Rattus norvegicus: one gene and its partners. The protein of the gene in region 3 binds, or shares a complex with, the protein of the main gene of each other region. Links are inferred from orthologs where the notes say so. Each region holds a gene or a part of one and is shown on either strand. Other genes may lie near its edges. The genes, in order: Grm3, Ntsr1 and Arrb1.

Region 1 (4,480 bases), on a different chromosome or scaffold from region 3:
TCTCTCTCTTTCTGAGACTATATTGTGTGGATTATCTTTAAGTCCTTCATCTGCTCTTAAACTAAATTACTTAAATAATCTCTACCTATGTAATACCTATGAAAAGTTCCCATCTTCTCTTAAAATGCTTCTGTCTAAAACATAACTAGGTCCTGGTTTTCTTTCCTCCTCTCTTACTAATAATAACATAACTGGGTAACTTTCTTCCTAGTTTTACACCACTTTCCCATTCTTAGATGATTCTTCCTTTACCGTTCAAAATAATGTCCAGTGTAGGAGTTTTTCTTACTTCATGCTTTCTCCAAAAAAAAATATATATGGTCAGTTACCAAGGCAGGAATGTTTTTAAATGCCCAATTTTAAACAAATGAGACAGAACTTAGCAGATACCTGGGCAAATTTAAATTTTACATTTACAAAAATCTGAGGTCTAGGAGGACAGCTCAGTGGGTAAAGAGCTTACTACAAAAGCACAAAGGCCTGAAGTTGGACCTTCAGACTCCACATAGCTACATAAGCTAGCACATGTCTGTCATCCCAGCTCTCTTATGGCAAGATGTGAGGCCTACTTGCAAGAACCTCCAGAAGACTGGTATGTGTAGAAAGGCAGAGGGTGGGCAGTGTTCCCTGAGCTTTTCCTGCTCCTTCACATATATTCTAGAACAGGCATGTATTTGCATTCACACATGCATGCATGTACAACAACGTGCATGTACAAAGAAAACCCCTACTGACGTCAGCGCGAGAGTGTCTGACATACCAAACACTGTTTATGTCCCTGGCTGAATGTCTCCACATTCTAAGCCTCAAATTGATGACCACACAAGAGAGGTGAAGACGAAGGCAGGAGAAGACAACCATGGTATTGGAAGTCAAATGCCTAGCTTTGCATTTTGATTTTCTACCACACTTAATTACAAAACTATGAAAAAGTTTCAGGAGTTCACAGAATCCAGTTTTGCATGTTGAAATTAAGATAATACTTACCTCAAAAGACCCTTGTAAATAACAATAAAAAATACATGTGTAGATTTAGACATACATACCACACACACACACACACACACGCACACGCACACGCACACGCACACGCACACACACACAATCATTACAAATAGTAACTGATGCTCTAAGAAAATGGATTCATAAAAATGCACAAACCAAAGTATGAATGTTGTTCTCTAGAAATCAGACTAGACTGAAGGAGTGAGGAGAGAGAGATTAACGATCTGCCTTCTGTGGTACCTACTCATTAATTCAGAATGATTACTTTGTAACTAAGGAACCTAAGTTTGGAAGAACAATTCACCATAATGGGACTATCTCAGTACTTCACCGTAGCATTCATTTGTTGTAAATGTGTTCATAATGTACCTCACAGTGCCATTACTTTCCATGATTGCTCCATGCTGTTCAATACAGATGATACAGTTGACATTGCACTTAGGAGAGTTCCACCCCTGTATCTTAACTCAGCAATTATGCTCCCTTTTCCTAGAGTTAGCTGTGGCTTCCTTAGTTAAATACACATGCACTGTGACATGTACAGCCGTTGAAAAACAAGGGTGGTAGTCAGTATCTTATTCTACTTCACCACCTTTCCAAACAGGCTGCAGCTCGCTGTACCTCCTTCCAGCACAGAGAATGTTCATGTAACTTTCCTGTTGGAGCTAACTCATCCTTCTGTGTAGCTTTTCTTGATTGTAAGTTGTTCTCAGACATTCTGAAGCAGTGAACTTAAAGCCACAGGATCTAGCAGTCAATGGAAGTTGAATACTTCCTTACCCTTTTGGGAGAAGAAAATTCCAACAGCTTAGGAGCTGTGGTTCTTTATTTCCAGAAAATAGTGTCTCTGGGTATTCTTCAATGTCTCCCTAGACAGAACAGGCTCTGGTGACTCCAACAAGATGAGGAAAGTATTCCATCAATAAGAAATGGCCTTTCTGGTGCTACCCAGAAACTTCACAATCAGGTCTCCACAGAAAAGGATTATATCACCACAGTGGCCATAGTACAACATAAGTCCAGTGGAAGTCGGATACTAGGAGTAATGCAAATACTGGTTCAGGGCAACCTGCCTATTCATTTACCCTGAATAAACAAAAAGTACTCCTGTGCTCTGATCAGCCAGTGTAGGCAAGCCATTCTGTGCGGACGTTTCCAGTCCTTGGCAGAGAACTGCATTCTACCCATTCATCCAATCATTTGCCTTGTCTTGAGGTTCTAATTTTTCATTATTTGGTGTGCCGTGTCTCAGATTTTTCCAGCTGTCCTTGGTTTCCTTTGCTCCATGAAATGAGGATTCATCAGGACTGGGATGGCCATTGCATCCCTTTGCTTGTGTTGTGCTCAGAACTATCCATTTCAAGCTGATCGCCCTGTGTCCCTTAGGTAAACAAAAACATTCAATTGCCAGAAGAAAAAATTTCAAAGTACCTAAGCTCATTCCAACATACAGTCTTCTGAAATACTCAACTTGTTTTATTAAAGTTGACACAGAGGATTATGTGACTTAAAGTCACTAAAGACAGAACTTTTTGAAGCTAGGAAGAATAGAAAACACTTTGTTTATATATTTATTTATTTATTCTCAAGACAGGTTTTCTCTGTATGTGGCTCTGGCTGTCCTGGAACTCATTCTGTAGACCAGGCTGGCCTTGAACTGAGACATAGGCCTGCTTCTGCCTCCCTCCCGAGTGTTGAGATTAAAGGCATGCACCACCATCACCGGAGTAAAAGCAAATTTCTTACTAGATATAAATGTAATCTACTTTGATAGGTGTAACTATATATATATTTTTTTTCAAAGTATTTCATGCAGTACTTCTTGATAAACTCAGATCACTTCCTCTTTTGTCCTATAACAAATAAAAATAGTGGAATGTTGATAATTAACTAATAAAAATTCAAATTTTTATACAACATAGGCCTGAAATATGTCAAAGTACTCAATCATTCCTCAATACTTCATCTGAATTTCATCTGAATTCAAAAATACCATAAAAAGAGTTTATCTGCATGCTTTCCCTTTTCAAATTCTAAGAAAAAAAAAACAAGGCAAAGAAAAAGTTACAGTATCTTCAGAAATTTATCAAATTATATACCTAAAATTTTGAATGGTCTGAATAGAATTTAAGTAGAATTTATTTTGTTTCTTTTGCTTAACCTAGATAATAAATGTCTAATTTGGATTGTCCATGTGGCACTCAGTTCCCAAATTAAACTCTTTCAGAGACTGCCATTTTTAGCGAAAGAGGGGGAAGTGAGAATTAAACACCCCGGATCTTTCTATACAACCACAGCCAAGTTGTCTGAAAACCGAATTTGGCCACTTCACTGTAGTTCATTGTCTGCTGAGCTATAGCAGGACCCAGGGAACTTACAACGACCACGTTCAGAGCCTCTGAGCAAATTTCATCAGTCTAGAGTCTAGCACAGAACTTAAGTAGGTCCAGCCACCGTGGCCTCCCATTTTTCATCATGCTTTTCTCTAAAACAAACACTGCCTGCTTTGAACCTGCTCCCTAATAGCTAAACATGTTACCGAGGAAAGTATCTGGTAAAGGTCTCAAGAAGTGATCCCCTCCCCTCCCCTGCCCCGCACAGAAAAGGAAGCTGGTAACAGACGTGAATGGTGTAAAGATTTCTCTCTCACATAGTCATTTGCTTATGGGTTTTTTAAAAAGATGCCTCTCTCTTTTTTGCTCAGGTGGCAAACCTGCTGAGGCTCTTCCAGATCCCTCAGATAAGCTACGCCTCCACCAGCGCCAAACTCAGTGACAAGTCGCGCTATGATTACTTTGCCAGGACCGTGCCCCCTGACTTCTACCAGGCCAAAGCCATGGCCGAGATCTTGCGCTTCTTCAACTGGACCTATGTGTCCACCGTTGCCTCTGAGGGTGACTATGGGGAGACAGGGATTGAGGCCTTCGAGCAGGAAGCACGGCTGCGTAACATCTGCATCGCCACTGCTGAAAAGGTGGGCCGCTCCAACATCCGCAAGTCCTACGACAGCGTGATACGTGAGCTCCTGCAGAAACCCAATGCGCGGGTCGTGGTCCTGTTCATGCGCAGTGACGACTCACGAGAGCTGATCGCGGCAGCCAACCGCGTGAATGCCTCCTTCACCTGGGTGGCCAGCGACGGCTGGGGTGCTCAGGAGAGCATAGTCAAGGGCAGTGAGCATGTAGCCTATGGCGCCATCACCCTTGAGCTGGCATCTCACCCGGTTCGCCAGTTTGATCGCTACTTCCAGAGCCTCAACCCCTACAACAATCATCGTAACCCCTGGTTCCGAGACTTCTGGGAGCAGAAGTTCCAGTGCAGCCTCCAGAACAAGAGAAACCACAGACAGGTTTGTGACAAGCACCTGGCCATTGACAGCAGCAACTATGAGCAAGAATCCAAGATTATGTTTGTGGTGAATGCAGTGTACGCCATGGCGCATGCGCTGCACAAAATGCAGCGCACCCTCTGTCCC
Region 2 (5,005 bases), on a different chromosome or scaffold from region 3:
ATGTCCCTGTTTTGGAAAGAGGCCAATATTTCAATACTTCCAAATATGGCCATGAGGATGGAGATGTAGGATAGTCAGCCATGACTGGAGACACAAGTAGAACAGAAGGTAGCCGTGCTCATCTCCTTAGTGTGCCCAGACATTTTGGTGGGCACCGCAAATCCCATGATCCCAGGGACGGAAATACATCTTCAGATTGCAGACAGTGGTTTAGGAGGGGTGAGAGGGTCCATGCCTCTCCCGAGGAATGGTCTCATCAAATAACCAGAATAGCTTGTGCTCCCAGCCAGAGAGACCTGGTCAGCTGTTAACATAAGACAGATGAAGAACACGCTACACTCAGTTGCTCTGAGAATGAGGCTGAGTCTTCTAAGGGAAAATGGAAGCTCTGTTCTCCAGGGGCACAAAGGCCACCAGCAGGCACTTAGTAAACACTCAGCCAACAATGTGACAGCTACTGAGGGGAGCCTTGCCCGGGACGGGTGCTCAACAATCAGTGCTGATGGACAGTGACCAGGAACCTGTCACATGGACCGGGAGGTGCAAGCAATGACAAGAGAGCTTTGGAAGGGAGGAGACACCCTGTCATATGTGGATCCGGTTCTGTGGCTCCAACAGGGCTTCTGCAGGATTTCAAAAAGGGTTTTGTCTAGTGGATGAGGGTGAGTTGTGCTTGCCCCTGACCCTACAGCTGGAGGAGCTGGGAACAGTGTGGACTGCGAAGCCCTCTTCCTACAAAGCCCATCAAAGACAGGAGCTTGAAGGAAGAGGCCTGTTGCCTCAAAGGAAGCAAGGAGCCATGGTGAATCCTACTGTTTGTCACATGGAGCACCCAATGAATGTGCACTTGCCTTAATGCAGAAGACCTTGCTAGACAAGCTAGGCACTGACTCAGCCCTGCTAGGAGTGGCAGCTCAAGAGGGACCGTACACAGGGACACTTGTAGCACAAGAGCATTATTCCTGTCCCCACGGCCTACCTTGGAGATGAATTCTTGAGTTAGATACTGCCTGATGTCTGAATGCTGATTGCAACCAACCCGGCATTTCTGGTTTCTGGGTGTCACCTGGATATACCATGTGACCACAGAATCTTGCTGTGAGGCTCTGGGAGCCTATAGATGGCTTGATGAGGAAAGTTGGCATAGCCACCTTCCCCGGAGGCCCCTCTGACATGGCAGGAGCCCCTGGCCAGATCCTCTCATTCTCTGCCTTTCTTGCTCACCCCGTGGTGGAAGAGAACCCTCCCTGTACTTCCATGGTTGCCCAGGGTCTAGAGCCAAGAAATTCTTCAAAACTTTCTTCATTTCTTCATTTTCTTTGTGGGGGGTTGTTTTTCAGACAGGGTCTCACAAATTTGAGGTCCAAGCTTGCCTCAAACTTGTAATCCTCTTGCCTCAGCCTCTGGTGTGTTGGCATAACCACTCAGGGGCTCTAGCTGCCCCTGTGGATACCCACTTCCCTCCTCACGGTCCTTTCCTGTTGAGCTCCCAGCATGCTGAGTTACTCTGCTAGTAATTTCCAAGGAGGCTCCCATCTGGTTCCCTGGTGCTATGCTCAGACCCACAGAGGACTGTGGTCCATCATCCCAGTTTTATTTGCCTATTACACCCCTCTACACCAAGACACTCCAGGTTGCTCTGCACAAACACCACCACCACCACCACCATCACCATCACCATCACCAGCAGCAGCAGCAGCAGCAGTGGCGGCAGCAGCAGCAGCAGCGGCAGCAGCAAGGGCCTGGAGTGCTTCACACTGGGGACCTGAGAGCCCCTCTCATAGCCCTCTTGACCATTCTGTGATCACCTCACTTCACAGACTAGGAAGCTCCAGATCCTGGGTTTGTGTCCAGGAGAGGCAGCCAGAAGGCCTTAGGGAGCCAGCCTGGGGTTTCAGGGATTCTTGTAACCTCTTGAAAGGCTGATGGCGACCCTCTTCCCTGAGAGTACCTGAAGGCTTACAGTAAACAGAAGTCACTGATTGGGGCTCAAGCCTCCTTCATCAGGAGGGGTGGAAGCAGGGTGGGGCAGGCGACTGGGAGTGAAAAGTTCGGAAGAAGAGTTGATGGGTGTGCCCCGCCCCTTCCCAGCCTAAGAGCACAGTAAGCTATTAAGTATGCTGTCACTGGGGTCTACTTTGGGACAGGGGAGAAGGGAAAAAAAGTGCTTCTGAGGCACTGCTGCATCTCCCCAGGTGGTGCCTTGAATCATCGGGGCTTCTGAGGTGACACTGCTAAAAGTCTCTGTATAGCTCCAATGGAAAGAAACAGCCAGATGGGAAATCAGTGCCCCGGTGTGCCCTCTAATGTGCCATGGCACAGAGAGTCCCCACTTCGACGCTCTTACCTGGATGACGACCTTGACAGTGGCTGTGTCCACAATGGGTGTGCACACCAGGCCGCCAGGGTGCGTGCCGTCACCACTGCGGTTCTGCAGGCCCATGGTGAAAAGCATGGGTATAGCCAGCAGCGCCGAAGCTAGCCATATGGCACTGATGAATTTCTTGGTGCGGCTGCGGGACATGAGGGTCTTGGCCTTGAAGGGATGGCAGATGGCCAAGTAGCGCTCCACACTCAGGCTGGCTACATTGAGGGCTGTGGCATAGGTGCAGGCATCACGCAGGAAATAGTAGCCACGGCAGCCAGCGTCCCCAAAGGCCCAGGGATGGTGTACCCAGATGAAGTTGTATAGCTCCACGGGCATGGCCAGCAGAAGGATAAGCAGGTCAGACAGTGCCAGGCTGCCCAGGTGGTAATGCACAGTGCTCTGCAGGCTCTGCAGTGACTTCTTCCGCGCTAGAGTGAAGGCTGTCACGGAGTTGCCCACAGTGCCCACCACGAAGAGTGCCAGGTATATAGCAGTCACCAGCACCTTGGAATAAATGTCAGTGTTCACGTCCAGGTCGCTGTTGGGCCCTGCCGTGTCGGATTCCGAGGTATTGCCAGAACCATTGCTCAAACTGAGCGCCAGGAACGTCGCTTCCATTTCGGACTGTGGTCCCGAAAAGGGCTGGGCATCGGGTTCACCAGGGGTGCCCTGCGGCACGGAGCTGTTGAGGTGCATGGTGGGTGCCGGGTATGCTGCTTTGTCCTGCACCTTTGCAGGTGAAAGTCCCTCCAGGGGCAGATGAGGAGGCGCCCAGAGGAGAGGGTGCAGAAGCTAAGGGGGGCGTGCCGTCCAGCGGCTAAGCGCGTTATCCAGGGGATCCTGCCTGGTAGCTCTGGGGCTCACGACTTGCCGGCTCAGGGATCCACTCTTCTTTCTCCTCCAGAGTCTGGGATCTGCGTTCCGGTTTCGCTCTTCCTCGGCACCCCACCCCCCGACCCCCTAGCCCCTAGCCTGCCTAGATCCGGGCTGCTACGGACCTCCAGATTCTGTGGTTGGTTCTCTGCACTCCTGGGTGGTAGTAATGTCCTCAGGACCGCGACCCTGCTGGCTTGTGGCTTCGTTGGGGGAGCCTGTGGCGCAGAGCGGAGCGCACACACGGCTACCCAGTGTGCTCACCCTCGTTCTCCCTCTTCTGCTTGGAGCTCTTCCCGCACCCGACTTCGCACACCTCCTGCTGCGCTGGAGCCTGCCGGGCTCCTCGCGCTTCCACTGAGCTGGCGGCTGCGCGGCGCGCCCAGCAGTGGAGGAGGGTGGGTGTTGGAGAGTCAGAGACGCCACAGCCACTGTCCCCTCCCTACCCGGATACTGGCTGACGGTTGCCTCTGCACGCTCCCGGGACCACCTGGGCTAGGATGAGTACCCCAGGAAACAGGATTCCCTACGGTGTGAGGGAGAATGAGGCGATATTGGATCTTTCCTTTCAACCTTTCCGGGCAGCACAATCTTCTCCTTCCCGATCATTGATCCCAACTTCTCCCACCCCAAAAAGGAAGCTACCCTTAGTCGCCTTCAGCTCCCTTACCAGAGAGAAAAGGGTGAGGAGGAGGGGGGCACCCTGCTGGTATGGCAGGGCCTTTGTACAGCTGGCTCGGCCTCCTCCCTCCTGGGTGCCTGCGGGGTGCCAGAAGCACCCAGGGGGCCCTCTAGCCTGTGAAGGGTCGGGTGAAGGAAAGCATAGCGCCGGAAGGCAGAGCAGCCTATCTCTCCACGCCGGCCCAGGCAATCCCACGGTCTTATGCTGCCTTTGGGTATGATGGGCCCCTCTGTCCTCTTGTAGTCACCTGGACTTGGTCACCAGCAGTGACTCTCAAAGCCGGTGCTCTGTCGTGTTTCAGAGGGGCAGGGCAGGTTTGTGGGTGACACAGAGTCACATCTGTCCTTCCAGGAAACACTGCAGGCTGTGAACTCAGCCCAGCTCAGCTTTTCCCAGGGGACCCTGCCCCAGTCAGGGACCTAGGGAACAAAGGTCTTTTCATCTTGTCCTCCTTGGCAGGGGCCTTGGCAAGAGCTTCCAGGCTTGCTGCCATCTTGCTTGTCCCAAGGCCCTTGCCTCTATTTCCCCACTCGGCCCTTCTGCCTTCTTCCTCCAGAAAACTCCTGGGGAGTCCTGGGGCAGGAGGGAAGAAGGCTCAGGGCAAATTGCGGTCCCTGCATGGACCCTGCTGCTGTCTGTACCTGCTGTGCTGGAACTAGGGATCCTGAGTGGACTGTGGGGAGAGAGAGGGTAATGAGAGAAGTGGGTGAGGCTTTGACCCAGACCAGGGATCCTGATGTGACCAGAGAGTCCCTGCTCGGCCAGCAGGGAGACCCTCAGACCCCAACTTTCAACCTGTTTGGAGAGTGCCAGCTGGACAAAAGCTGGTGCTCACCGGTAAAATCTTAACACATGAAAAGCAGTGCATAAGATGCTCTGTTTTCCGAGGAAACAGCTGCGTCCCCGTGTTAAAAACCAGTACAGCAGGCTGAGGGTGTAGGGGTTGAACAGGCCTTTAATATTTTTGGGTACACCTTGGCGTCTTCCTTTGTGGAAGGGAACTGGAAATCTGTATTGATGGGTTCTGGTTGGGTGCCCATCAGGTGCAGGTAAGGTGGGCTTGAAAACTGCCCCAGGTGAGA
Region 3 (5,058 bases):
AAAAGTTACTATCAGGTATCTTCTTCCAACGCTCTCTATGTTTTGAGACAGAATCTCTCACTGTGAGTGCTAGACTGGCTGGCCAGAGAGCTCCAGAAACATGCCTGTCTGCACATCCCTTTCCCTCCTTTCCCTTTATCCCCACCCCCAGCAGTAGGGTTAGAGCCCACTATGCTCAACTTTTTATGTGGGGTCTGAAGATGCTAATTCATGGCCTCAGGCTTAGGCAGCAAGCATTTTACTGGAGTCATCTCCCCAGCCCCTGTGAACATAATTCTAAGCCCAGAGAGGCAGCAGAGATGCATTCAGCCATCTAGCTTGCTGACCCCCACTTCCTTGATCATATGCTATTGATCAGCCTTAGTTCTGAGCCACGGCCTTGGTTCTGAGGCTCCTTCCTAGAGTGTCTCTGCCTCAAGGCCAGCTCCTCCCTCTGCTGGCCACTGTCTTAAGCACCTGTCTGAGAGGAAGACTTGTTCTTGTCCTCCATTCTCCACCCTCTTCTCCCAGCTGATCCTGGCAATGGAAGAAAAATCCTGTTGCCTTAGCCTGACCTTCCCAGGGCTGGGGATGACTGGCCTGTGTTCCTCTCGCAGGCCCCACCCCCAGGCTTCTCTTCCCACCTCCCGGTCCTTGTACATTCTGCACCCTGGGCTGGCAGGGCACTGGTTGCAGTTCCACTGCTCAGCCTCCTCAAGCTTCTAGGTCAATCTCAGCTGCTTTGACTACCCAGAACAGTTTCGGGTCACATCCAGCTCAGCTCTGGTGTGGATGCCTCTTCCACCTCCCAAAGTGATTGTGTCGTGTACCACCATCACCTGGGAATGGATAGTCTGGGGATTCAGCTCTGGGAACTCCTGCCCCAGGCTACAAAGAAGCCACTCTTTCATGACCTGTGCTCATTGGACCCCTGTTGGTGCTAGCTTGCTCTGCCCTGGGCCTCCTCTCAACCCAGGGGTTTCTGCAAGGGCAGTGACAGTTTTGATTAACGTTCATTATCACTTCCTCCAACCGACAGGAATAGATGTGATGACTCCAGAGCCTAAGAGTATTGAGTATTTGCAATGTCCCTTCCAGGTCTCAAAGCAAAATCTCATGGCCAATGTAACACAATGGAGAAAGCTTCTTACCTTTCATATCCAGACAGATCTAGAAAGAGAAAGGCAGAATTCATGGCTCTAGAGGGGCCCAGGGAGGGGAGGCAAACACGGACAGGTGGAGTTTGTGTAGCTAGTCTGTATTTCCTGGCATAGGCAACTCCTACTCCTATGTCCAGTGAGCTCAGTAAGCTTTTGGGAGCCATGAAAACCAAAGTTCTAATGGCTCCAATGTACAGATGGGAATACTGGGTCTGCCCTTGAGTTAGAAGCACAGCAGGGGAGTCAAGGACAAAGCTGTGGCCTCAGGATTCTCCAACAGGTGTCTGGCAGCCAGAGTGTCCTCCTCCTATGACAATTCAAGGTATCAGGAATCTGTGACACTTCTCCCCTAGTTACAGAGAGGCCCAGCATGGCTGAGTCACCCTGGTCACCAGCAGCACTGGAGAACAAAGGAGAAGTCAGTGGCTGCTGACTCCCTGCCGTGCCTCACAGGGAGCAAAGCTCAACCTTACAGTTCCAGAGAGTCTCAAAGCGGGGAGGGGGATGGGTGTGGCTGAAGAGAGATGCATCCAAGCATCTTTCCTCCAAGGACTGAAGCCTGGGTCACGATGCTGACCAGCCAGCTGCATTGGCCCTCAAGGTGAATGCAAACACCTCATGGCTGTCCGCAGTCTCCCAAAGCTGTGCCTCTGCACCAAGTGAGTCCCTTGCTAGTCTTTACACCCAGGGCCCCAAGGAGAGCCACAAGATACAGTGGGCTGTGGCCTCTGCCCCTTCCTGACCTTCAGCAAGGCAAGTGACCTTTCTCACCCTTCAGTTCCTCTTTGGGGAAACCAGAATAGGAAAATTAACCTCCAGGAAGGGCCATCAATAGGGAGGCTGGTGGGAGGTAGTTTCTAAACATGAGGAATCTGAGTTAGCACTATGCCTCAATTTCTACTCCTGGGAAATGGGAATAACCTCTGTAGCCCCTTTCACTCACTGCTGAAAGGCTCTGGGGTCAGTGGGCAAAAAACCAGTTTGTTTAAGGGCCCCAACATGTGACTGCAGGGATGCTTCCTTTCTGATCATCTCTCATCACCGAGGCTATGCCTAGTATACAACAGGGGCTTAATAAATAAATATCAGAGGAAAGGAAGTGAAGGCAGAGAGAAGAACACAAACATAAGAGTAATAAGGAAAGCAGTGATAAAAAGCAGGTGCAGGAAGACTAGAGGAGGGGCCAGGAAGGGCGGCAAGGAGACTCTCAAGGGCCAGGAAGGTAAACTCTAAGTTGACTAGGGCTGGTCTAGGTCATAAGGATTGACCCCAAGAGCTTCCCTGCCCCTCCCTAGCCTTCCTACTTTGACCTAGTTTCCATTTCGAGGGCCTAACCTTTCCTTTCAAGGCAGGATCTACAAAAACAGTTTCCCTCACCACCACCATCCCCAGCTAGATGTAGCCCCTAGCTATGTGCTTTGGAGGTCAGAGGGGAAGGAAAGCATGTGAATGGGACCTGCCTTCCAGGTCTCAAAGTCTCCCACTCTGACCTGTGTTTCTGGTCTGGCCATGGGGAGTCAGAAGTGAAGTGTATCCACTGCCCTAGAGATGTCAGGCCCTGCAGGCATTTTCTGCTGTGCATGTGCGTGATTGGCCTTGATGTGTCACTAAGACCTGTGGCTGCATCGTGTCATTTCAGAGAGGGTTGACAGACTGCAAGCACTAGCCAGACCGTGCTTTGCAGCATCCAGGTGACAGGATACGTATGTTGGTGTATGCCCAGATGTGCGTGGCAACACGAGGTGTGTTAGAGCTGGTGCGTGTTCCAGTGGGACCTGTGTATGCTAACAGTACTGACAGCAGGAATGTGTTGGCAGACTAGTGTGTGCGTGAGAGACCGCGTGTGACGTTGTCGTGTCACAAATGCGAAGTGTGGCAGCGACTGTCAGTGTGTGCCAGCAGAAGGGTGTTCATGTGTTTATGAGTGTGTGTGTCGTGTGTCAGCCTGCCCCAGAACGTCCTCGAGTCTACCGACCAGCCAGGGCTGGTTGTGTGAGCTCGTCTCGGCCAGGAGCCTTGAACCAAGTGGGGTGGCCCATCCTGGGTGCCTCCGTCCTTACACATGGTTCTGGCCAGAGACCACACAAGAGACTTGGGCGGACAACAGAGTGCCAGATCCCGGGTGACGCTGATTGGAACCTCCGCCCGTGCCCTCGCCCAGGTCGTCCCCACGCGCACGCGGGACAGGGCGGCCACCCGCACTCACCGTGTCCCTTTGTCGCCCATGGTCCGCGGCGGCCGCAGGGAGGTCCGCGGCGTCAGCGTCCAGGCTGGAAAATCCCCGGCCGCCAGGAGAAGCGCGGGCCAGCCCGCTCCCGGCTACCCCGCTCCGCCTCCTCCGCTGTCGCCGCCGCCGCCCCCGCCCGGGTCCCCGCCCGTCGCTCGAGCAGCACAGCGCCCCGGCCGCCGCCAGGGGCGTGGAGCGTGCGGGTGTGAGCGCGCGTGTGTGGCTCCGTGCGCCGCTCTGCGTGTGCGCGCCCAGAGAGTGAGGGCTGGGTGGCCGGCCGCGGCTGGTCCACGAGAGTGCGTGCACGCAAGCGCGTGCCAGTGCTGGTGCGTGTGCACGGCTGTGCGCGCGAGCCTGTCGGGAGAAGGGGGGAGGGGTAGAGAGAGAGATTGTGTGTGTGTGTATGTGTGTGTGTGTGTGTGTGTGCAGAGATAGCACGTCTTTGTGCAGTTGTGCGTGTGTGCTCACAATCGTGGGTGCAAGCGCGCTCTCCCGCGCAAGCCAGGACTGGCCTTTGTGTCTGCGGATAGATGCAAGCGGAAAATCCGCAGACTCCAAGGCCCAGCCTCAGCGGCGCCCCTGTGTGTGAACACAGCAAAAGATTCCAAAAGCCTAGCCAGGCCTTCGCCCTTTGCTCCACCCTCCCCGCCCCCGCCCTTCTGGAGAGATACCACCCAACGGCACAGCGGGGACAGGAAGAAGGGGTGGGGGCGGGCAGCGGACTGCAATGCTGGAGAGCAGATGAGAGTGGAAAGAGGAGGGGAGGGGCAGGCAGAAAGAGGAAGCTGTGAGAACAGAAGATAAAGCAGGGACCAAGAGCCAACTAGCTGGTGACCGGAGCATCCAGCATCATTGCTAGCACCCAGGCCTAGTTTACTTGCCTGCAATGACTCTAGACATCAGCCATCTCAGCCCATTCCAGATCTACTGGCTGGGTCCTAAGACCAGCAGATGCCCTGTTCTATAGGTGAAGGAATTCACTTGTTCTTGCCGGCAGGCACCTGCACACAGTGGTGTCCAGCAGAGCTTACTGTCTGCAGCTTTCTTGCTATCCTTGAAATCTTGACTTTCCCCAAGTTTCCTACCCCTGTGGAAGTAGCAGGTGTGCAGTGGGAGGGTGGAGTCCAGAGGCTAAGGAGGGGTAGGAAAGGGTTCTGGATTTTAATCCATTTTCTCCTGGAAGGGATCTTAAGGGGTTCCTTCTTGCTTTGCAGGAAGTGGGAGAATGTAAGGTCTTTCTCAGCCGCTTGCTGCTGGGGTTTGACTAATTGGCACTGATAGGTCCCTAATATCGGAGTATTAACGATAGGAAAGGAAGCTATCATTTACTCTGATGCAATTGCGGGTCTGGAAACATCTCCTGTAATTATGTTCAGAAGAGTTACCTATGCTGTTTACATAGAGTGTGCTGTTTATAGAGTTGGTAATAATATCCCAGGATAACGACTATAATTATGTCCAGATTGGGGAGGGGTGGGTAGAGGCTAATGGATAGGCAGGGTGGTCCACATCTGGGCAATGGTAAGAGCTAAGTGAAAATGGATTACGGTCTGTAACTTCACCTGCCCTTTCTTAGCCTCTGGGATCTTCCCTTGCTCCAACCAGGGCAGAACAGGAAGCTACCAGATCCTTCTGCAAGGGGTTGTGGGGGGATCTTGAAAGGAACAGAATAGGATCCTCTGTTGATAGCAA

What was found.
Region 1: the proteins of Arrb1 (region 3) and Grm3 are in contact, whole or in part, in a cryo-EM structure (PDB 9II2), measured with the Homo sapiens proteins. The link is inferred for Rattus norvegicus from reciprocal best matches to the Homo sapiens genes ARRB1 and GRM3. Residues at the interface, in NP_004032.2 of Homo sapiens: Gly5, Thr6, Arg7, Val8, Phe9, Lys10, Lys11, Ala12, Ser13, Pro14, Tyr21, Arg25, Arg65, Glu66, Asp67, Leu71, Gly72, Leu73, Thr74, Phe75, Arg76, Lys77, Arg103, Leu104, Lys107, Pro133, Arg236, Phe244, Asn245, Thr246; in NP_000831.2 of Homo sapiens: Pro605, Lys608, Ala609, Ile669, Phe670, Asp671, Gly672, Val673, Lys674, Asn675, Ala677, Gln678, Arg679, Lys681, Phe682, Ser684, Cys761, Pro762, Glu763, Phe765, Val834, Val835, Thr836, His837, Gln855, Ser856, Ser857, Ala858, Ser859, Thr860.
Region 2: the proteins of Arrb1 (region 3) and Ntsr1 are in contact, whole or in part, in a cryo-EM structure (PDB 6UP7), measured with the Homo sapiens proteins. The link is inferred for Rattus norvegicus from reciprocal best matches to the Homo sapiens genes ARRB1 and NTSR1. Residues at the interface, in NP_004032.2 of Homo sapiens: Tyr63, Arg65, Asp67, Leu68, Val70, Leu71, Gly72, Leu73, Thr74, Phe75, Arg76, Lys77, Asn245, Thr246, Ala247, Gln248, Tyr249, Lys250, Lys284, Arg285, Gly286; in NP_002522.2 of Homo sapiens: Ser93, Leu94, Gln95, Ser96, Leu97, Gln98, Thr100, Val101, Arg166, Ile170, Pro173, Lys177, Phe286, Ser287, Met288, Ala289, Ile290, Ala297, Leu298, Gly301, Ser368, Asn370.

The regions. Positions count from the first base shown.
Region 1 is NC_086022.1:25,476,477-25,480,956, forward strand, and holds part of Grm3 (metabotropic glutamate receptor 3 precursor), read left to right. Parts: intron 1-3,709; coding exon 3,710-4,480. UniProt on the Homo sapiens protein: G-protein coupled receptor for glutamate. Ligand binding causes a conformation change that triggers signaling via guanine nucleotide-binding proteins (G proteins) and modulates the activity of down-stream effectors.
Region 2 is NC_086021.1:187,982,301-187,987,305, reverse strand, and holds the start of Ntsr1 (neurotensin receptor type 1), read right to left. Parts: upstream 3,529-5,005; 5' UTR 3,065-3,528; coding exon 2,348-3,064; intron 1-2,347. UniProt on the Homo sapiens protein: G-protein coupled receptor for the tridecapeptide neurotensin (NTS). Signaling is effected via G proteins that activate a phosphatidylinositol-calcium second messenger system.
Region 3 is NC_086019.1:163,248,555-163,253,612, reverse strand, and holds the start of Arrb1 (beta-arrestin-1), read right to left. Parts: upstream 3,398-5,058; 5' UTR 3,366-3,397; coding exon 3,346-3,365; intron 1-3,345. UniProt on the Homo sapiens protein: Functions in regulating agonist-mediated G-protein coupled receptor (GPCR) signaling by mediating both receptor desensitization and resensitization processes.